Linked DNA regions of Styela clava. The protein of the gene in region 1 purifies or fractionates together with the protein of each later gene. This does not show direct contact. Links are inferred from orthologs where the notes say so. Each region holds a gene or a part of one and is shown on either strand. Other genes may lie near its edges.

Region 1 (7,989 bases):
AAATGTTCCTCAAATCTTTGTCCAATACGTGAAGTTGTTTTCAAATACTTCTGCAAACAGTTTGAAATACATGTGCTTTCTTTTGACAAAACATTCCTACTGCCAAAATCATTGACACAGTCCGCAAAACATTGTTCAGTTATTTTGTTGTATGTGTTTAAAAATTCCTTAAGTTGTTTCATTTGATCTGGTCCAACCAGTTGAGACATGCCCTGAACCCCAGCCATTGTTTCGTTTACTCTAATGCACTGCACTACAGTTGCACCAATACATAAATCTGAGTAAGAAAATAAAAATAGGGGTTAGGCGGATAAGCCGTATAGCTGTATAGTGGGGCAATGGCTGTAACAAACAAAACAAATATGCTCGGAAAACTAGAGAACAAAGTTTATAATACGCAATGCACATGCTCGTTCACCAAAAGTAACACAAATTATATATTTATAAATAGTAAAAAGAAACTCAATGAGCAGCAGTAAAAGCCTCCTGAGGCGTTTCATGTAAAAAACGTGAGTTACAAATACAAAAATTGACAATGAAGTTGATGGTGTGTCGACACAAACAGCCAAATCAACGTAACGTATGGTAATTTGGGCAATAGGCCTAATTACATAAAATACCCCTGGCCTGGTGCATGTATATGACGGGTAACTTATATTACATAAATTTACCATGTATATCTGTACCTTGTCTGCAGCATGCGGTTTTTGTAGATGCAAATTATTATTTTTTTTTTGCCAAATAAGTTCTAATGCCAAACGGAATTTTCGTATCATTATTTTGGAATCGAATAATTTTATTTTAAATACGTGGATTAACTCATTTTTGGACATATATGGTTTATATTACCGTAAATTACTGACATCATGGTAATGGTATGAATTTCATATTTATTTGGATTTTTACTCTACTATTGATATATATATTGCGGGAAATGGGATTTAAATAGAGAAAACAAAAAACTATGTACCGTATTTAAAATAAAGTGGATGCAAATTAAAATAGCGTCACATACAAAACAAGGACCATACCAACATCCTACTACTACGCACACTGCAACGCTAAGCTACATCATGCTTCTCCACAAGATGAAATTCGCCGCGCTCTGATCTATAGTGCCCCCACATGGCTGCACGCCAAGGTCGATATCAGACATCAGCAAGACGCTAGCTAGCTAATATCTCCAAGTGCTGCGCATCTAACATCTAAAAACAAAAGCGGGTTATCGTGATAATCAGTGGTTCTATCTAGTAGTATATATTTACGGTTCTATACACTAGTGTGCCGTGAAAGATCATCAGACTTGCCGCAGAGATTTTCGAATTAACAAAAAAAAATTGAGTTATTTGTTTCAGTGTGTAACAAGACTTTCGAATAACTCAGAATAGTTATCTTAGGATCGGATTTCCATATTTGTTAACTTTGTATGTTTTACATCCTATATGAAGTTTTGTATCCTCGAACTCTGTAATCCGTATTCGTTTGTTTTGATAGCAATGAACCAGCACTGAAGAAATACCAACAAGGAGTCACGAAACGGACATGAGGTAGCATGAAGAAGAATATATGGAATTGATATTCAACTGTCAGCGGATGCTACAAATGCTATTACTATACATTTTACTTAAATAAGAATTAAGATTAAATAAGAATTTGTAATGTAACAAGATATGACAATTCCCATGCGCAACGTTTTTAAATATTCACGTAATGGCATATTGGGGAACGAGAGTCTTGTTACGCCACTGGTTATGGCGATAATTAAATTAAACAATAGTATATACGGATATGATCATCATATATATATATGAATACTGTCATTTCACAAAAATGTAAGTATGTCTTTGCCTATGTTGCTCGGACTAGATTTTCAAGATATTATGACACACTATATTGTCCTCAGTTAATGTTGCCGTATCCACTATTTTAGTCATTGTCATAGTTATCACACCGTTACAATCAATTAATTACAATAAATTAAAAGGAAGATGGGGTAATATTCTTGCTCAATGGCGCGGTCCTTTTGTTCATCAAATAAATAAAACCACAAAAAAGAAAAAACTTCTTGTTCTTCAAAAGAATTTCATAAAAAGTGTGATACTATTCTTCTCACATGACAAATATGTTCATATGGATAGAGATTTTATTTCCCAAATAATGTCAACACTTGAAACATTTGAAGCAACAGAAACAAAAAAATAATAATTCAGTAATAATTGGTTATCATTATTTGTGAGGGCCAGTATACAAGACCGGTAAGGTCACCAAGGCTGACACCGATGAAATATATAAATTGAAAAAATTGGATTCTTCTTATAACATAGTACCTCCTTGTTTGTGATAGAGCCTTGTTCGAAGAGAAGTTATTGAACACGCGATTAGAAGATGATAATATTCTTGTCCGACAGCTGTATTCAATTTTATAAGTCCTAAGCTAAATGAAAGATTTTTTTTCTTCACAGGAGGCACAATAGTTGTCTGCATACCAGCGACTGCTCGTTCAGAGCCTGGTACAGATTACTCAAATAAAAATCAAGTCATATATATATACCACGAAAACAGTGTATTAAAATGGGGGAATGAATTGTCAGAATTGTTCCCAATGCGCTGTTCCTTAAATCAAAAAAGTACTCGGCAAAATATATCAGCAGTGTAATTCTACGTCTCATCAAGTTTGGGCGATGTCACAATCAAGCGACAAAACTTGTTTAGAGCTTTGCTACGGGCAAAGGCTACGGGTAAGTCGTGAAGCTCCTTATCAGAAGATGGAATGAAACCGATCTTATACAATAGCCGTAAGCCTATTCAATCTAATAATTCTATATGGAACGATTTTTTATAAATTATCGGCTTTCCTCTTCCCCGGGATAAATGTGTAAATCCTATCCATTACCAATAATAGTAATATGGATGAATGAATTGTTGTTATGGATGAACTTAATAGTGTGTCAGCCTAATGCGACCTCGTTGATAATGCGCCATTCCATGCGTCCTTGCTGTTTGTAAACGCAACCCGCTGTTCCTAATGAGCTGTGCTACACAGCGGACCCGCGATGAAGCAAGTCAGCGCGGCGAGTAAGGAAAAGATTTTCATATTTAGCGTATTCCTAATTTTGCCAGTCTTATTTCCATCGATGAGCTTGCATGTCACTGTGTAACTCAACGACTGTTTGGCAAATCAGCATGGTAAGAGATTGTATTGTCGTATGTCAGTATGTTTCCAGTGAAAATTGAGAGGGATTTTCAACAGTAAAATGAAACCGTAAGTAGTATTGCTGGAAATGAACTATGCGTATTGCCGTGTGTGAAATAGAATCTAAATTTGTCAGTCACGCAAGTTATATATGAATCGTGAATATTTTGATTAGTTTTTGATTTTATTGAAAGAAATATTCCAGTATTCAGCTGGAAGGGAACTAAATAATGCCAGACAGAAAAATTATGAAGAATTATACACATAATATTAATCTATTAATACGTTTTTTTTTAAATTACATATTATACTACTTAATTAATAATTGATTGACTGTATGCTGTTGTGATAATTTCAACACTATCAAATACAGTTCTCTGATTCCAAGAATAGCCCCCACGCCCCCACATTAAAAGACATCAATAATAACAGTGAGTGCAAACCCCTCCCTCCTTTACGAGACAGTGTACTGGTGTAGGCCAGGGGTCGGCAACCTACGGAGTAGTATAATCCGCGACTGGTCACTGAATTATAGTAACAAAACAGCTGTTTTGACGATTATTCTTTGAGTAACAGAATTCATTGTGAGACACGTGTAGACTAAATTATATTATAATCTAACGAGTATAAAATTCACAATTACTCGTTTAACTATAATTTAATTGTAATTAGACAAATGGCAACAAAACGCAGAAATGTTGATGCTAAGCGCAAAGGGTTCCATGGCGCTGAAAATATTCAAATGGAACTTTTTGAGATGCAATGCAAAGAGGAAATAAAATCTATATTCTATTCGAGAGATGTATCACTGCTTGATTTTTACTATAAAAAGTATCATTCGTTCGGTTTTCAACTTTATAGAAATATGTCCGGTGCGCCAATGACTTGCAGCTGCAACCCTTAATTTTGGCCCGCGGGCGACAAAAGGTTGCCGACCCCTGGAGTCGGCCTTCATATGGACTCAAAACGGGAGGCTGGGAGGCGCAGTTCTTACCACTTCAGCACTTCATGACAGCTCCTGCCACGAACGTACCGCGGCGTCTCTTGCCATGGTTTTATCGCACGATTACCGGTATATTTACAAAGTCATGTACAATATTTTAGTTTATCATGCAGAATTATATTTACTTAAACCTAACCCCAAATACATCAAAACTGTATTCATAAGAAAAGCGTTCCAACTTACCCAATATTTATCTCCATAAGGGGCAGCCCTGCTTTTACAGCCGACATGCCGTGGTAACGGCAGCAAAATTGGTGGTATTCGATTTGCTGCCGTAACAACGGCAGCCCGCTATTGGTTTGTGGCAGCTAAAAAGTCAGGGCCGTAGGTTTGGTCATAGCGGCCATGGTTTGGAAATCCCGCCATGGTTTTGCGGCAGCTCTAGACGCCTCAAAATACTTGAAACTGCACTTGCAAAACTGCAATCTGGCACTGCGCAATAAACTAAAAAAAAGCGCAGTCTAAAAACGTCACCATAGGATTCCATAATCTAATTTACAGGAGGAAAAAAATTTTACTGTAGCGTTTTGGTCACTTGACGGCAGACTCATATTGGTATTGATTTAAATTATTACTGAGACAAGCTTAGTGCGATCTGACGCATCTGCCGTTGTGCCAGACGCTCTCGTTTCAGACACAAATAGGTAACCAAATTTTGCGACATCTTAGAATCAGAGAATTGTGCCCCACTGAAATATAGATGGATTGGATATACATGAACGCATAAATTATATGCTTAGTTTATTATTACCGTAGGTATTTTTGTTTATAATTTATAATTCTTATCCCATTCCTTATGTTTCAGTTAGAATTAAGTCTATATAAATGGGTGAATTTGCTGTTCATCGATGCCAGTTGTTCGAGTACACTCCATGCACTATACAATGCATCGCTAGTTATGAATCGTCTGAAGGTACTGCTTCACAAAAATTGTTAGCAGTTGGGAGAGAAAATGGAGCTATCGACCTCATCAGATGTACGAAGACTGGTTTTTATAAGTATATGGTTATTCCAGCATCTTCTACTCGTCATTTAGAAGATATTGCATGGTATAATGGTAGACTATTTTCTGCAGAACTACAAGGAATAATCAGTGAATATGATTTAGTAAAAGGAACTATCAAGCGAACAGAAGATAGTTATGGTGGAGCTGTTTGGTGCCTTGCTGTAGGAAATAAAAAAGGAGTCATTGCAGCTGGCTGTGAAGATGGAAGTTTAAAAATCTACAATTGTGAGAAAAACAGTTTGTCATTTGAAAAATCATTTGATAAGCAAGAGGGGAGGATTCTCTCCTGTGCTTTTCATCCAGACAATGATGTCTTAGTCTCTGGATCTGTGGGTGTTATAAGAATCTGGAGTTACAAAAGCGGTCATGCTATGCAGAGAATAAACTTGGAAAGTTCTAGAAGTAAAAACACGATCGTATGGGCTGTCAAGATTTTAAGTAACAATACGATTGTGAGCGGCGATTCAACTGGTAAAGTAAATTTTTGGAATTGCAAAAATACTACATTACTGAAGTCATTTCAAAATCATCGTGCTGATGTTTTGTCCCTCTGTGTTTCTCATGATGAAAAAGTTGTTTATGCATCTGGTGTTGATTCACGAGTTTTAGCTATTAATTGTTCATCTGCAATGGTGGGCGAAGATGATCCGTCTTCAGCAACAACTGTAGACTCTTGGGTTCTAGGTGCAACCTTGCAAAAACATACTCATGATGTCCGTGCACTCGCAATCGTAGGAAATTATTTAGTATCGGGAGGTGTGGATACTAATATTTTGCTTTGCAATATCAAAAAAGGGGACTTTACTAAAATTAAAAGAATGGTTGATTTTCCCCATAAAAGCGTTGTTCATATAGCTGAAAACCCAAGATTGGTTTTGTTCCAGTATCCAAAACATTTGGATATATGGAGAATTGCAACTCCACGTCGGGTGAATGGTGAAGCTGGAGAAAAAATTGATTTAGAACAGGATCCAGCCATTGTTCTTCAAATAAAAATGCCTGCAAGTCAATTTGATGATATCACATGTTCTGCCATCTCAAAATGCGGCCATTGGGTTGCATATTCATCTCAATCATCATTTAGGCTTTTCAGGCTACAATGGGGAAAAGAAACACCTTCTGAAATATCTCTAAATAAAATTCCTATTATGTGGATTAAATCTGCATTAGCGATTGCATTCACTCCAGCCTCTGAATATTTGATAACTTCAGCATCGAACGGTAAAATATTTGTCATAAAACTAGAACCTGATGGCCACGTTCACGTAGCTCACGTATTCAAAAATGAAACCGATAGTATCCTTAATGTACCCGCTGTGTTATTTAGTGCCACCAATGAACTCTTTGCAGCTGTAGATTTGAATGATAATATCAAAATCTATGACTTAGAAAAACCAGAGATTCGATGCACGTTGCCCAGTCAAGATAGCTCACCTACTGCCATTTCTTTTAAACCATCCTCTACCAAACTTATAGTTGCATACCAGAATCATGCTGTAATAGAATATGATGCTGACATGAAATCATACACAAAATGGTCCAGAGAAGCAAATTCTGTTTCACTCAATTTAATTGAGTTTCCGTGCAAATATACCAAAAGGCCGAAAAAGCTTGGAAAATGGAATACATCTCCGATAATAAATATTTCGTTCAACGCGGATGCTCCTGATATTATCCTTTTGTCTTCTCAAAAGGCTTTATACTTCCTGAATACTTCGTCTGGTATTTTGAAAAAGATCATTTCTCATGAAAAGGAAAGATCAGAAAATGCCGTTGAGCAAAGCAAAGAATATGCAGCTGAACTCAGAAATAGGAGAAAAATGTTGGAAAATCCAGTCAAATGCTGTGACAAGTTTGAACAGTTGTTGCATGCTTCGTTCATTGATGGTGGTTCATCTATTTTTGTTCTTGAAAGACCATGGCATGATATTTTTGATAATTTACCACCTACTCTGTATCAAAAAAAATTTGGAACATAATCTGTGCAAGAATCGTTGTCATCATGCAGTTGACCTGGACAACTTGAAATCTTGGATAAATCTATTAAACGGAATAGATAATAGACTCGAAACTTTAATTTGTGTTGTTAAAAAAATCGTTTTATAGGCCTATAGTAGCATTGACCATTTGTCTTATGCTTACATTTTTATTATTGGACTGGTCACAACTTACAAAGTCTTATCCATTGTTTTGAGATATAAAATTTTTCGATATTGTATTTTGGCCAAAACGCTCTCTATTTCCGTAAAACTTTCAATTGGAAGGTATTAAAATTTGTGATATTTGTTACGAATTTCAATCTGCTTTGAGTATTAAGAGAACTTGAAAAACATCATATAGATTAACGGAATAGAATACTATTTTTGACATTGCATAAATGAAACTGTATTTGATTTATCCTTAACAATTTGAATTTTCATCCGTGGTGCTGTTCAAAAAATCCTATTTGTGATTGATAATATTTGAAATCATCATTTTCTCTTGTGATGTGGCATTATTGGTATGCTCTATATCTAAACTGTTGTGTATTATACCATTATGCAATAGAAATGTCAATGGAGTTCTTTCACTGGTAAATATTTTGAGCTGTATGGTTGGTCATATCAGCACCATCAACTGCGAAATTTTTTTTTAGATCTAGAAAATTACCATACTAAAATAAAATCATGAGGATTGTTTCAATACGAAGTTACCTGGTTTTTGTGTGTTTTGCAATCATATCACTCTGGCTGCTCTTTTACTTTGTTGGAGTGGGACGAGTACAAAATTTATCTCGGGCTGGGCTGT
Region 2 (7,127 bases), on another chromosome or scaffold:
CAATTCCCAGTCTGAGTTGACCAAACATTGGCGAATCTTCTACCTTGGAGCAAGATGAATTCAAAATTAGAAATATTGTCAAAGATAATTCATATGAAGGAAGTGAATTGTTTTACTATAATAATCCTCATAAAAAAACACAGGGCAAATATAACTTACCAAATGAACGCAAAATATATTTTGATTTAAGAATATGTTAGTAAAGACATGAATTAATACAACATGCTTAAAATTTCAATTTAATCGGTACTTACATACACGTCGTCTTCTGTACCGATATCTTCAAATAAACAAAAATAATATTTGTCAGGTTATGTTTAGTGAATGTATTGGTGTTACAATTAACTTGGCATGTGCAAAATAGTTTCAATATATTTTAAAATAAGCAAATTGAAAAGTATTTGAGTCTGAAAATCAAAAACGAATTTTTGAACATTTAATTTTTTTCTATCGGGAGATCATTCAAGTCTGCGTTGAATTTGTGTATATTTCAAGTTCATATACATGATCTTTCAAGATTATCCCCGAATAATGTTAATTAGTAACCACCATTGATATGTTTGACTTACTTTGTGTAGCGGCCGATAAGAAATCTTTGTAAAATTTAATACTTCTAATCAGAATCTCGAGTTTTCGTATTTCTTCTATCTGTAAAAATTAACAATACTAATTGGTATAGCAAATTATTACGGTTATGGAATTATAGAATATATATATATATATTATTCACGAATAGTCAATAATAATTATAATTTCATTCTACTTTATAATAACTAAGTTAATTTGTGTTTAAAGTGGCTTTGATTTGGCTTCAGTCGGCAGTTTGTTACAATCTCACTTTATAATTATAATACTAAATTTTGGTTGTACCGTTGGATTATTGAATTGAGCCCCAGGCCTCAGCATCACACTCACGACTGCTCAGGACATTTACTCTGCCTGAGAGACAGAAGTTTGAATCGCTGAGCGATAATAATAAGCGAGAATTTCTGTGATCCTCGTCATCACAATCTTACTCCACTATAACTAGGAATGTGTAGAATTGAATTCACATTTTAACTATTTGACAAATCCAACATCCGTGCTGGTATTCAAGGGTGTTGGTGTTTATAACGAGAAAATCCAAAGCGCAAATTATCAAGATGAATCAGATTTTGAAAGTCCACAGTAAACATTTTCATATCTCAACTTATTATAAAAGCTAATTCACCTACAAGCATTATGCTTAGAATCAGGTTTTTGTGCAAAAGTTCTACAAATTCTTCCTATCTCTATCTCACCCGAAAAAGAGGCCATCGTTCGCTATGCGTATTAGCAAATATATATTTTATTTTCCGTCTTCTCCGAGATAAATATGTTTTACATATATATCTTCATATTAGAAGAAGTATGCATACACGGGCAATCTGTAATATTAGAAAGAAGATATCTCACGTGTTTTGGCGTCATACTGCCATCTTTCTTCAATTGGGTCATTGCGTCATTTTTTTGGTCGATGTACTCACTGAAAAATATGAATAAATATATACACGTGAGTTTACCTCAATTAATGATATATATATTACAAAAAAAATGTATCAATATATATAGCATAATATTACTCGGTGCATAATAGAATTGATTTCCAGAGCTCCGTGGCTGTTTCTACTTTCGAGTCATTAGATGTGGTGCTTTTACTTCTTCCAGATTTTTTTCTGTGTGAAAAAAACAATATCACGTGAGCTCATGAGAACGGTTATATATTCAAATAATATACCGGTGCTATTCGTTTATGTGGAGTCCTGATAAAAAACCTCGTTTGAACAATCGACTTTGGAAACCATTCGAAACCAATTTTTCCGCTGCGGCATATCAAAAAACTGCAACAACAACATAATTAGGACAAGCGCGGTAATCACTTGCGCGCAACACCCACAAATATTTAAATAAATATTTTCGTCACACATTATTGTGATACACAGGGCCCTACAATTCAATAATCATGCCGCAATCGCAAACAATTGTAGAATAGATTAAAACAAACTAATGTTCGGGGGTTTGGTGTAAGATAAGTTTTGTTGTTGTAAATTAATTTATTAGTCAATCACAGATGCAATTCACTCACTTGTCTTTGTTTCCCGATGACCATTTCATTGATGATTTAGTTTTTATTTTCTTTGACTTAGTGTTTTTCTGTGGTTTTTCGTTTACTCCGTCAGCGATGAAGTCAACTTCACATCCAACTGCTGGAGTTTTTTCTAATGAAATAAATATGGGACATGATCATGCATGGTAATGGTTTGGCCATTGCAAAATCAATAAAAAAAACAGCATTTATATTGAACAGAGTTATGGTATGGATTTTCGTATAACTGATAAATTGTTATTTTCTCTTCGCAATAATTTCATTCCGTGCTCAACGCGAGAATAAGAAAATTGTTTTCATTTATGTAGGCTACCATAAAGATTACAATCGCCTTCAAAAATTGGAACAACTCTAAAGTAATTACGGCAAATAAACATTCAGTTACTCACCCTTTTCTTTATCTGACTTTTTGCTTTGCAACCCCTTTTGTGACGATTTATTCGAACTATCCATATATTTAAGATTTAGCGCTAATATTATGCAAATCAAATTTAAATTGGTAAGTGCCGGGTCTGGTGATTCGGTATTACTTCTTTGTTATTTGGTTTTTATATTACGTTGCAGGCTAACTATCTGCTTTGAATGTATATTATATACTCCCCTCCAAAAACTATACTCCAGAAACAAATTTTGGGTATAGGCTACGTCTTAAGCGTTTACATTCTATAATTTGTGGACACAAATGTGTCTGGGTCTTTAAGGGAAGAGATTAATGTTATGGCTTTTCTACTCAAATGGGACTTTATCGAAAAAGCTTTTGCGAGAGGTACATTCCTTCCTTGTTCAGGTTGATCATTTCTTTGCATTTCCATACCTATGGTCCTAAGTTAGTTTTTTGAGCAGAAGTACTGACACCAAATAATTAAATATATATGACATGTAGCCTAGTTCTTTCAAGCCCGTATATTATCATTTCAACGCCAATATTCTGTCTACATTTAACCAAGCAGATGGCATTTTATAATCTAACTTCTAATATGATTTAGGGTATTTACTATTTAGAATATATTTTCTGCTGCCTAAAAATCTCAAACTAGACAAACAGCAGGAGCATGCTTGGTATTTAAATCAACGACTGGTATTACTATAGCAAAAATCTGTCTGTCAAAACATACCCCCAGGCAATTCTGCATCACGACAAAGTTCGTAAACTTTAATTGTCAGGGAGGTTTTTGAAAGCTCATCGATCGCCGCTATCAGTAAAATTGCGATTGATGTTATAACATGAAAACGTGTGTGTCCAATAATAGCCTACATAAAAATTTAGCCTATATATTTTTGATTTTCTCGGATTAGTTATTTTTGTAATGGTAGATTTATGCCATTTTTGTTTTACTAAAAAAGAGCAATATATATGATTGATATAACGTGAAATATCAAATAATATCATACATTTATTTGGGTGTTTGTAATGTGACCCCGTTTCGTAAACTTGGCAATGAATGAGATGCGTGAGCTCGTCCTTTTTTTTCTTCTAGTCAGCGCTCCGGAAGCTATGTGGATCACCCTGTAATGGTGGGTCTTGATCGTTAGTCGTTGGTCCTGATTGATTGGTTCTCTGACATATTATCATCTTCAACGGAATTCAAACATGCGTCTCGTGGTCGGGGTTTTCGGCGACCCGGAGAAAAATATCCCCAACCCTCAACCAATGTTCTAAGCGAATCTGTAACATCAGCTCCGAAACAACAAATAATGCTAGTATACAAATCATCGATATGGTCCATTTTTGACAAAAAGTCGGTGCACATAAGCGTGCTCAAATCAATCAATGTCAAATGTGTATGCGTGTGGTTTTAATGTTGCCTAAAAGTTTTCTACGCAGAATTTCTGGTTCTTCCGTGTGTATGGGTTTTTCTCTCTTCCACAACGAATACGTACCGTACTCGCAATATGACCTTTGACCGGTCTTATGGGGAAGTCCCTTGCACACGTTTTGTTGGGTGCTCGGAATCATTTTATGTCATTTTATGACGAATTTTATGTTACATACCGTAACGTTATAGAATCATGTCGCAAAAAGTTCTGAACACATCAAGCAGGTTTAAACGGTTGGATCCCGTGTCTAACGTTCATGAAAGGAAGCTTCTTACTGAAGACGGGTATTACTGGAAAGGATTGCAGGTAAGTTAGACATAACTCAGTACAGCAGTAACTAAAACAGTAAAAACAGAACAACTAAATTGAATACTGAAATGTAATTAGTTTTTTATTTCAAATTCGTCTGTTGCCAAAAAACGTTATGAATATTTTTTTGAACTAATTTTTTGATTTATAACTAGTTCTGTAGATCTTATTTTTTGCATTTAATTCCAGTTTCCTGTCACAGTAAAGGAATTTGGAGCAGTTACACACATTGACATTCAACCAACACATCCTCACAACATTGCTGTTTCGTCAGCAACTCGTGTGAGTATTATATATTACAGTACAGCAGGGCATACAGATTCCAGGAATAGCTCCATATTAATAGACATCAATTATTACAGCCCCCTTCTTTACAAAACAGTCTGGCCTCCATATCGACTCGAAATGCCAACTGGTTCTGCGCAATAAACTAAAACAGTGAAAGGAAGTGCAATCTAAAAACGTCTCCATCAGTTTAATTGATCCAATCCAATTTACTGGAGGAAAAAAATTTTATCTTCGCATTCGAGAGTTTTTAGCAAAAGGATAGGATAGGATTTACATATTTATCCCGGGGGAGAGGAAAGCCGATAAGACGGCTTATCCATATGGCGAACCACGGCCTCTCGTCCGGTTACCATTCCAAGTCGGGTATGGGATTAGTTATATTGTTTGTTTTGCGGAAGCATGGACTTGGTGGTGGAGGAAGCCGTAACCGACCAGCGGTTACATGAACCACCCAACGACGGCGAGGAGTCCAGCAATGCTCTCGCACATAACCATCCCTGCATGGGATTCGAACCTGCGAACCCACGCAGAGTAATTAGAGGTGCGGTGGCGAGCGTATTCCTAACGCTTAGCCCGTTGAGCCACACCGCCGCGCCTAAGAAAAGAACGCAATTTTGGTCATGTGACGACCGGCGCATGTCACGATCGATTTAAATTGTTTCCGCGACAAGTTTGACGCGATCCGATACATCTGCCTTCGTGCCAGACGCCCTCATTTCAGATACAAATGAAACAAAAATCATAATGCAATATTATTTTTGAAGACAATCAATCAATAACATTTTGACTGGAACCGTTCATAATCTACAAAGAATAACATAGAAGTCAACAGATATTCATTGAATTTGAAATTAAATGAATATGGAAACTTCAATGGCCTAAACTGATAATATTTTCAAATAAAACTATTTTAAATTATTCCCAAAACCTAAATTACATAAAATTAAATATAATTAATTTCAAATAGATTTAAATGTGAGATTTGTTTTGGACATCTCTGCTACATCCCAAGTAGCTTAATTGGGGGTTTGATTTACATGTGCATATTTCCTATTATAGATTCAAGTATATCATCATGAAACAAGTGAAAGAATCAAAACCTTCTCAAGGTTCCATAACACTGTATATGGTGCAAGTTATCGCAGGGATGGAAAATTAATAATTGCAGGAAACGAAGATTCTAATGCAAGATTATTTGATACAGAAGGACGTGTTCCTTTGAGAATTTTTAAAGGCCACACAAGGTTAGATAAAATTGAATATAAATTAAAGCTGCCAAAACTAAAATTGAGAAAGTATGACTATAGTACGAATGAGTATATCACAGATTTAGCCACATTATCATATTTTTTGTGCTCAAAATCAAGCTGGTGTATTGCAATGATTAAATGTACATTTGTAATGAAACTCTTCCTTGGTGCAGTTTGATTTTAATATTAAGTCAGCTTTTTTCCCAATGCATCATGCGTTGTTCTGTTATGAAATTTAAGTTTTAGTTATTCCTGTTGCAGTATGCTTCACTTTGGTCACCTTTATTTGTATTTAATCATTATTTCATTTTTGTTCTATGTGTTATAAATTGTAATTAGTGTATATTGTCATGCGATAATAGATTGCATTTGTCTCACTGCATTAGTTACTAGCTGTAAAAAGTATTAGACGGTGGTTCGATCAAGTTTGGCTATATTCAGCAACTATCTGATTTTGTTATCTGTTCTTGTGTTTAGATTAAGATGTGCATTTAGTTACTTGAAGGCAGCCCTAATATTGGTAATTATAAATATACTGTTACAACATGTATAACCTAAACTATAGTAAAAATCCAATGAGTTTGAAATTTTATGAACCTCTTCTTTAATCTATTTTACAGGCCAGTTCATGTTTCCAAATTTTGCAACAACCTTACTCATGTTTTTACTGGGGGTGACGACAAAACAGTAAGAGTGTGGGATGTTGCAACAGAAAAATCAATCAACAAATTCTCAGAACACGAGGTAGTTATTGGTATTTTTGCTCTATATTTCATGTACAAACATTGAAAGTTTTTGAAATCACATTTTCAATCAGTTTTTAATAGGTTTTAACCTTTTTTTCGCTCATCGTTAAAAAGTTTTTTTTGAAATTCTTTTTTATCCACGGTGTACTATAAGAGTGAAATGCTTTATGTGTCTCGTGCAGCAATTCATGGAAAGCGGCTAAAACAAGCTGTAGGTTTGTCACCCGTTTCAACAAAAAGATACGACATTTTTTGTGAGGTTGAGAGTCGCTCAGGACCATCGGAAATGAATGGTTGATAAAACTAGCATTGATACTAAATATATTTTCTTTTACTCAATTTTCTCATATTTTCTCATTAGGACTATATTCGTACCGGAGCCATTTGTAGATCGAGCGCAGATATTATTGCAACAGGTATGTTTCAATATTTTTCAATTTTTCACTAGGAATATAGTAAAGCATCTATTGTTATAATTCATTTTTCCTAGATTAAAAGCTTGGCATGTTTATGCAATATTTAGTATACTGTATACATATAAAGAAAAAATATAGAAATCAATTATTATGGAAATGCTTATCAAGACCTATA
Region 3 (7,349 bases), on another chromosome or scaffold:
GAAACTGATGACAACCTTTTTTTGTCTTCCACCTCTTTGTCTGTGCAAAATGTAAAAACTGACATTTTATCATCAACAAGGAATATCCGAGAGTTTTGCATCCAAGATATATTTTCACTGCTTTGTAGCCAAGATTTTCTCGTTTCATTCCCACTTGGTACATAAGATGCACTAACAATTTGGTTTTTACACAAATTTTTATGTCTATATATTGGCAATGGACTTGTTGGTTGAAATACAAATAGGTCATTTGAGTCTGTGAGAGCAGCTATAAAACTGGACAAATGATCATTGATGAGGTGCTTTACCTGTATGTTCACAGACCATAAGATTCCTCCACTTAATAAATCGCAAGCATGCATGGCATCATGCAAGACCACCATTAAAATATGTTGAGAGGAATGACTTCCAAAATTTAGGTGCTTGATATTTTCACCTTTACCAAATGACAACAAGATAGTCAATTCTTGTAATAGATCAGGATCACTGAGGCAAACTTTACTGCCAAAAGCTGTTGCACAAAGAGAGCCATCTTGTGAAAATGCACCATCATACAGAGGTTGATTCCTATAAGAAGCAGCAGTAACACAACACCAAAAGAATTGTTCATCACTAGAACCATGTTTCACTGTCCATATTTTAGCCATTCCATCTATGCTGGTTGTTAGAAGTGCTGGGTGGATTTCACCAGCATCTGAATGTGGACGAAATGTAATTTTTGTTACTGTGGATTTATGGGGATCGTTTACAACTGTATTCAGTTTCCACCATTGTTCAATTTCATCAAACACCCAAAACTTCAATTTTTGTTCTCTAGAATATGTGACATCTGGTATGTCTTCTATTGTGGCCATCCAAGTAAGCGCACTGGGATCATTTTTCTCAAAACCTTTTATAATTTTTTGACACGTAAACGCAACATTAGTAATAGTAGTCTGTGGTATATGTGATCCCATCTCAGAAGCAATATAATTTTGATGGACAATGTCTAAGTTATAAAGTTGGGTATCGGAGTATGGATGATAGAACAGCAAATGACCAGGCTTGCCATTGGTAACACAAGAGTTCGTCTTCCAGTCATATTCCAGAAATCGATGAGTGGTATTTTTGGATTCCATAACAGCAGTAAAACCTTCTAATGAATGTTTTATGGAGAAATAATTTGTTATAAGCAGTAATGAGTTGTCAATATGAGTTGTGGCAAACAGTGCTCCATTTCTTGAGACAGCAATATGTCGAGCAGGTGTACCCAGTCTGGGGAAGAAATCTTTTTTACTACCATATCCTTGATATATCCATTGTACCAAGACACTTTCCTTCCCAACTGATAATAAACTAGCACCACCTGGAGTAAAATAAACATCTTGGACTTCCTTGCTATGCCAATGTTGGGATGAAACTACCAAACCAGATTTGGTATGCTTCTTGTTAGTAGATTTTTTATTCCATTGATGCAAATTGTGCCAGAATTTGATAATTCCACTAGATTGGCCAGTGACACAAGCATTGTCTGTTGGATGACAAGCAATGCATGTTATTTCTCCACCTTTCTGGTCACCATGCTCAAGAATTGCACCATTTGGGTTGTTGATATCAAGGACACAAAGTTTTTTCTTTCTACAAAATACGATAATATTACCAGGAGACAAGAATGCAACTGTCCTGGAGACCTTTAAACTGACATTTGTGGCCAGAATAACCATTTCAAGACTTTCCTCTGACTTATTGGCATTTATTGCTTCAAGTGACACTTTAGATATAACTGAATTATCATTTTTCTTTGTAACAACAAGCACGTCTTGAATATTTTCGTGGGAATAAATTCCAAACAATGGTAATTCTGCTCTACATGTTCTTAGTAATACACCATCTTCATAATCCCATATCCTAATTGTTCGATCCAGAGAACTGGACAGAATTTGAAGGCTAATTTTTGGATGATGGCAAATTCCAGTTACTTCATCATCATGACCAATCAATCTTTGCGTGTTCTCGCCAGTTTCTGCTGAAAAAACTTTGATTTCTGATGCACAAGCACAAAATAAAAATCTTGAATCCAATGAAAACAAAGGCGGATGTTGAGTAAGGCTGTCACCCCCACTTCTTATGACATTTAATCGGGGAATCTTCATTAGAAATTTTGTGCTTATCGATTTTTTATGTATTCTAATTTCTATCAAAAAAGGCAAAAATCAATAAATGAGTATCAAGAATTGTTGGGAGGTATTTGGGGATAAAATAATGTGGCCCAACGATAAACATTATACAATTACTATAGTATGGATGTTTTAACGAGGTCATCCGTTTTATTATTTTTGTAAATCTATTAATGACAAATTAAATTTACTATAGACTACATCCAACAAGTTCATATTGGCCATTTATAATTTCATTGCAGTTTATTGTATAGCAAAAAGTGATATATATAACTGGGCAAATTTCTGTAAAAAAGAAAATTTTAATTTGTTTAAAGATATCCCAGGACACATTCAATTTTTAAAATATACATATAATAATAAATACAATAGAATCTGTTATATTCAAAGATATCCTTAAAAGAATAATGCATTAGACTAGACTTTGTTGATGTTACTGCTGTTCCAAACCATGCATACTATTTCATTCAAAGTGTATTAAACAGTTTTTCTACTCACTCTATATGAGTGACATCTTGCATACAATTTTGTTCAAAAAATGTTCTGAAGCAAATAAAACATTGATATATATAGTAGAATATACTATTTTAGTTATCGCTATAGCTTAATTGATTCAAAATCAGGCAATTTCGACAAGTGAACATTACTCTGAAGCACAATAAAGTGCTATTCAATGTCACTGTACAGCTGTAACAAGTTATTCAAAATTGTGTGATGCCCTTTATTATACTATTATTGTTACTTTTTATCATAATGAAGAAATCCAAAAGGTTCTAAAATGAGTCTAATTGGAATTATTGCTTTCCACACCCTTCACTTATTAAAATATATTAATGATGAATGTCTATATCAGCTATATAGCATATTTAGCGAAATATAGTAATATTATCAGTAGTCAACATCACAGTGCTATGTTAGTCCAGAATATCATTTAAGCTAAAATCATAATTTTCCATTCTTTTTAGCATTTTCAAATTCTTTTTTCAACTCATTTCTGAAGGTTCCCATAAACTTGTTATCTGATTTTCTGCTTTTCGAACCTTCAGAGATGGATTTCTTTGTTGTTTCTTCCAGAATGGAAGAAGTGCCTTTTCCTTTGGATAGAAGTGATTGATAAAACGCAACAAAAATTTGAGCACTCCTGCGTAAGATTCTTGTTTCTGAAAGTCGTTCTACAAGTTGTGTTTGATGTATAAAAAGTTCTGCCAGTCGCCTCCACATGTTTTTATTGAAAATTTTTATTAAAATTTAAATATTCCAGTATTCTGCAGGTACTGAGATAATGAAATTATTAGGTGATTAGTAATTGATGAAAGATTATTAGGTCTATAGCCTGCAACCTATTCTGATTGCCCCATTCCAGCCACCAACAGGCAGACAGTCATTGCCACCAAAAGACAGACAGGGAGGTCAGTACCTTAAGTACTGAGGTGTTACACTTAAATTATATGTTAAACTTAAATACAGAAACGGCAAATTCAGAAGATAAGATTTAGGATGAGATTTTATTTCGATTCATTCGCAAAAAACAAAATAAACATATATATACACAAAAAATTAAGGCGAAGAATCTGGAAAGTGAAAAAAACCTAATAAAATAAGTTTAAAACATATTAAACGCGTTCACTCACCGAAGAAGAAAGATTATGTGCGAGAGGATTGCTGGACTCTTCGCCGCCGTAGGATGGTTCATGTAACCTCTGGTCGGTTACTGCTTCCTCCACCATCAAGTCCATGCTTCCAAAAACAAATAACTGGCTAACTAATCCCATACCCGACCTGGATTGAGTGGAAGTGGTGACTCCTCTCTACGGCCCATCAAGTTGTGTAAAGGGAATATTCACTTGGCTAACACGACAGTCCCCGAACTCATAATACAGTAATAGAACTATAATGTGAAAAATCTGAACAAAATTTTGTCCTAACTCTAGCCTGGTACACATACTACAGGAGCATCTTTTTCTGTAGCTTGGTATTTTGCTTCTTTTTTATATAAAGGCTTATAGTAAGAAAAAAATTTGGTGGCATCCGCGGCCCATATTTTGATGGGATGCGGCCCATATCTTGATGGGCCACGGCCCATGTGGCCCAATTCGACGGGCCATGGGCCGTAAAGGAGTCACTACCCCTGTAGCCTGGACTGGTACGGTAACCGGATGAGAGGCCGTGGTTCGCCATATGATTAAGCCGTCTTATAGGCTTTCCATTCCCCCTGGATAAATATGTAAATCCTATCCTATCTTCGGCTCGAAGTAGCCACGTCCGCACGCGACGGCGGTCGGTTCCGACTGTAGGTCGTAGGATGCCTACATTAACCGATTCTGGCACAATTTACCACAATATCCTAGGCCTAGCTGTAGGTAGTACGGTACACGGCTGTTAATTAAACCAATAAACGGTATTGTACCATAGATTATACACCTCCATATATAGCACACACGTGGTGGCCACAGCCCAAAGGCTGGATATCAAATATTTGCGGCTGAGTAACCCGGAATTCAGCACGCCGCCAAAGGAGCCCATTTGTGATTATTTGTCATTCTGGTGTGGGAAATTTACCAACTATCGTAGTACTGTATATTTTACTCGTATATGCTAGCTCAGTGTTTTTCAACCGGGGTGCCGCGGCACACCGGTGTACCGTAAGTTATTGTCAGGGGTGCCGTGGGAAATTCCCAAATTGTGTGTCTATGCGGTGTAGCGACCGACAGAGTAAGCATGTAGTACGGTAGCAGCATCAGGTGGCGATTTGCTTTTTTTGTCTTTGTTTTTATTAGATTACTATTCAGGATGTCCTATTCAACATCTTTCTTCAATGTTAAAAATCTTATATTAACAATATAACACTTATATATATTGTGAATATTAGGCCTTTTCTTCATATTTTCAAATGTGTGTGCCGCGGGATCTTCTCACTGAAAAAAGTGTGCCTTGGCTCGAAAAAGGTTGAAAAACACTGTGCTAGCTATTCCGCAGCGTCGCAAAATAATGCATGCATGCTCCGCATGTTTACTTGCTTTCATCTGTTTCTAATTGAGCAATGCCCCAATAGCTGCATCGACGAGTTCAACTATGATGGACAGTTAGCGTGGCTTCATATCACACCTAAAAGCAGCAAATTCAAGAAGGTTAAAGTTGCATTGTGTAATTCGATGGCAACATTTGGTGGTCACATGGCCGGATTTATCATTAGGCAATGGTAGGCTAAACATTAAGAGCCTCGAATCTTAGGGGCATCGACATTCAATTTTGAACTATTATTGGACACGAAATGTACATATGGATCGTTCATTATTATTATGCTGTTATGCTCTTTTTCTTCATTTTCTGGTATTTCTCTTGTTATAGGTGGGTTATCACGGAATTTTTTTTTTTTTTTGGGGTGAATTTAATTCTATATATTTCTCCAGAATTTTTGACGCTTACTATTTATTTACGTAAAAGTCGACTTAGTTTACTTCTTATGAATTAAAAAAAAAACGCTCCAACGAAAATCGACCGCAGTTCCGAAACGAGTGCCCCGGCCCATGGGTCGTAGAGGAGTCGCCACCCCTGTAGTCCGAAACGGTGTGTGATGACGTAGACAAACACAAATGCATAGGAAGCTCTTACTGTAAAAGGGGATCCAGCAAGGGTGTTTTATGTAATGAACGCACCGGTACTGCCCGCCGACAATAGGCCTTGAAGAACTGTTCCTCTAGTAAGTTTTTACCACTCTTTTTGGCTGTTTGGTAAATTTACCCCAATAGTAGAATTCCAGTAGCCTAAAGGTTTAGTTTTTTATTCATTTCACAGTATTATGCAACAATACACTGTTGCATGTTGAACATTAATAATCTTTCTGGTGATATTATCCTGAACTCGTTTATATCAATTTTAATTGCATAGGCCTACTTTATGTTTTCCATTTCACACGGCTATCAACAACACAGTATAGCTGTCATTAAAGATACACTTTGAGCTGATCATTTGTTGAACGAGTATGACTAGAGAGGAGATGAGATTTCCAGTTCAATGCTGTGTAATTTCCAGAATAAAAGAATCATTTGGCTCCATCCAGAAATAAATTTGGTTCTTGCATATCAATGGAAATATTTATACAGAGGCTTATTTGGTATGAAATAATTTATAAAGAAAGCCCTTAAGGTCGGTGCAATATTTATAACACAAGGGGTCAGTTAATGGAGATTCGTGAGAAAACATTTTTTGACATGAATGAACTACATATGGTGAAAACTTATGTTTGCTTGCTGAAATTTCATAGACCTGAAAATGGTAAAAATAAATAAAAACATGATTTGATAAACTGCGTCAGGTATTGTTGTTTCGGGCCGTGGGCAGGAGTTTGCATAGACTTAAACATAATTTTAAGGCTGAAAGATCTTTCAAATCAGAGGTTTTCTTCTTGTTTCATGCTCTGGGGCAGACCCATCACTGTGAATTCTGCAGTAACCACAAACCGCTAGTGTTTGAAAGTACATATATGCTAATTATAATATATTCTATATATATCACCAATTTAACAAAAAATATGGTTACAGAATCAGAATATACCCACATTATTTTAATAATCTGGATAATTTGAGAAACATAAAATAGCAGCAAACAGTCCGGCACAGAGACAGAGTACAGCTTGACCTCGATTAGTAAAGTTTACTGTAATTTCTAATAATGCAACGATATTATTTGAAGATATTGGTATGTATTTAAACCACTGCAGCGTTTGCCCGATGCACCCCAATGGAACTGGCATACGGTCAGCGCCGGATTAACCATTAAACAATATAAGCACGTGCTTAGGGCACCACAGAAATTTTAGAGCTGAATTTTATATAGTTTATCGGTATTTATTAAAATGTTACGAGTTCACCAGGAGAGTCAAACTTCAAAATGTTCGCTTATTTTTTGTCTTCACGTATCATATTAACCTTCTTTACTGAAAAGAAACACTGAAACTTATTTATTGGACACGAAATGGGCCTATGAGTCGTTTCCTTAAATTGTTGTTGTTGTTTTTTTCTTTCTAGTATCCACCTTGTTGCTGCATTTTTATTTTCAAAATTTTTTTATTCTCTTCAACAATTGGACCAATGAACTATTTACACTATGTGGCGGTTCCACGATCGCATTTCAACGATATATTGGTCAGCAAAGTCGGGAGTTTCTTGATAAGGTAGACCAGGGTGGTCCAAA

What was found. Proteins that work in one complex are often made in the same cells at the same time.
Region 2: the proteins of U3 small nucleolar RNA-associated protein 4 homolog (region 1) and U3 small nucleolar RNA-associated protein 15 homolog purify together in Homo sapiens (co-immunoprecipitation; 4 studies listed by BioGRID and IntAct, counting the BioPlex papers as one, with this or other methods). This does not show direct contact. The link is inferred for Styela clava from reciprocal best matches to the Homo sapiens genes UTP4 and UTP15.
Region 3: the proteins of U3 small nucleolar RNA-associated protein 4 homolog (region 1) and WD repeat-containing protein 75-like purify together in Homo sapiens (co-immunoprecipitation; 3 studies listed by BioGRID and IntAct, counting the BioPlex papers as one, with this or other methods). This does not show direct contact. The link is inferred for Styela clava from reciprocal best matches to the Homo sapiens genes UTP4 and WDR75.

What each region holds. Positions count from the first base shown.
Region 1 is NC_135254.1:14,336,558-14,344,546, reverse strand, and holds U3 small nucleolar RNA-associated protein 4 homolog, read left to right. Parts: upstream 1-4,989; 5' UTR 4,990-5,021; coding exon 5,022-7,181; 3' UTR 7,182-7,838; downstream 7,839-7,989. Other genes in the region: mitochondrial import inner membrane translocase subunit Tim9-like, read right to left, coding at 1-227; alpha-1,3-mannosyl-glycoprotein 2-beta-N-acetylglucosaminyltransferase-like, read left to right, coding at 7,869-7,989. UniProt on the Homo sapiens protein: Ribosome biogenesis factor. Involved in nucleolar processing of pre-18S ribosomal RNA. Part of the small subunit (SSU) processome, first precursor of the small eukaryotic ribosomal subunit.
Region 2 is NC_135256.1:19,821,360-19,828,486, forward strand, and holds the start of U3 small nucleolar RNA-associated protein 15 homolog, read left to right. Parts: upstream 1-4,029; 5' UTR 4,030-4,135; coding exon 4,136-4,249; intron 4,250-4,441; coding exon 4,442-4,534; intron 4,535-5,599; coding exon 5,600-5,784; intron 5,785-6,410; coding exon 6,411-6,534; intron 6,535-6,897; coding exon 6,898-6,952; intron 6,953-7,127. Other genes in the region: uncharacterized protein LOC120328857, read right to left, coding at 1-43, 255-280, 570-648, 1,435-1,504, 1,602-1,694, 2,105-2,237, 2,515-2,578. UniProt on the Homo sapiens protein: Ribosome biogenesis factor. Involved in nucleolar processing of pre-18S ribosomal RNA. Required for optimal pre-ribosomal RNA transcription by RNA polymerase I.
Region 3 is NC_135250.1:18,830,675-18,838,023, forward strand, and holds the start of WD repeat-containing protein 75-like, read right to left. Parts: upstream 3,099-7,349; 5' UTR 2,133-3,098; coding exon 1-2,132. UniProt on the Homo sapiens protein: Ribosome biogenesis factor. Part of the small subunit (SSU) processome, first precursor of the small eukaryotic ribosomal subunit.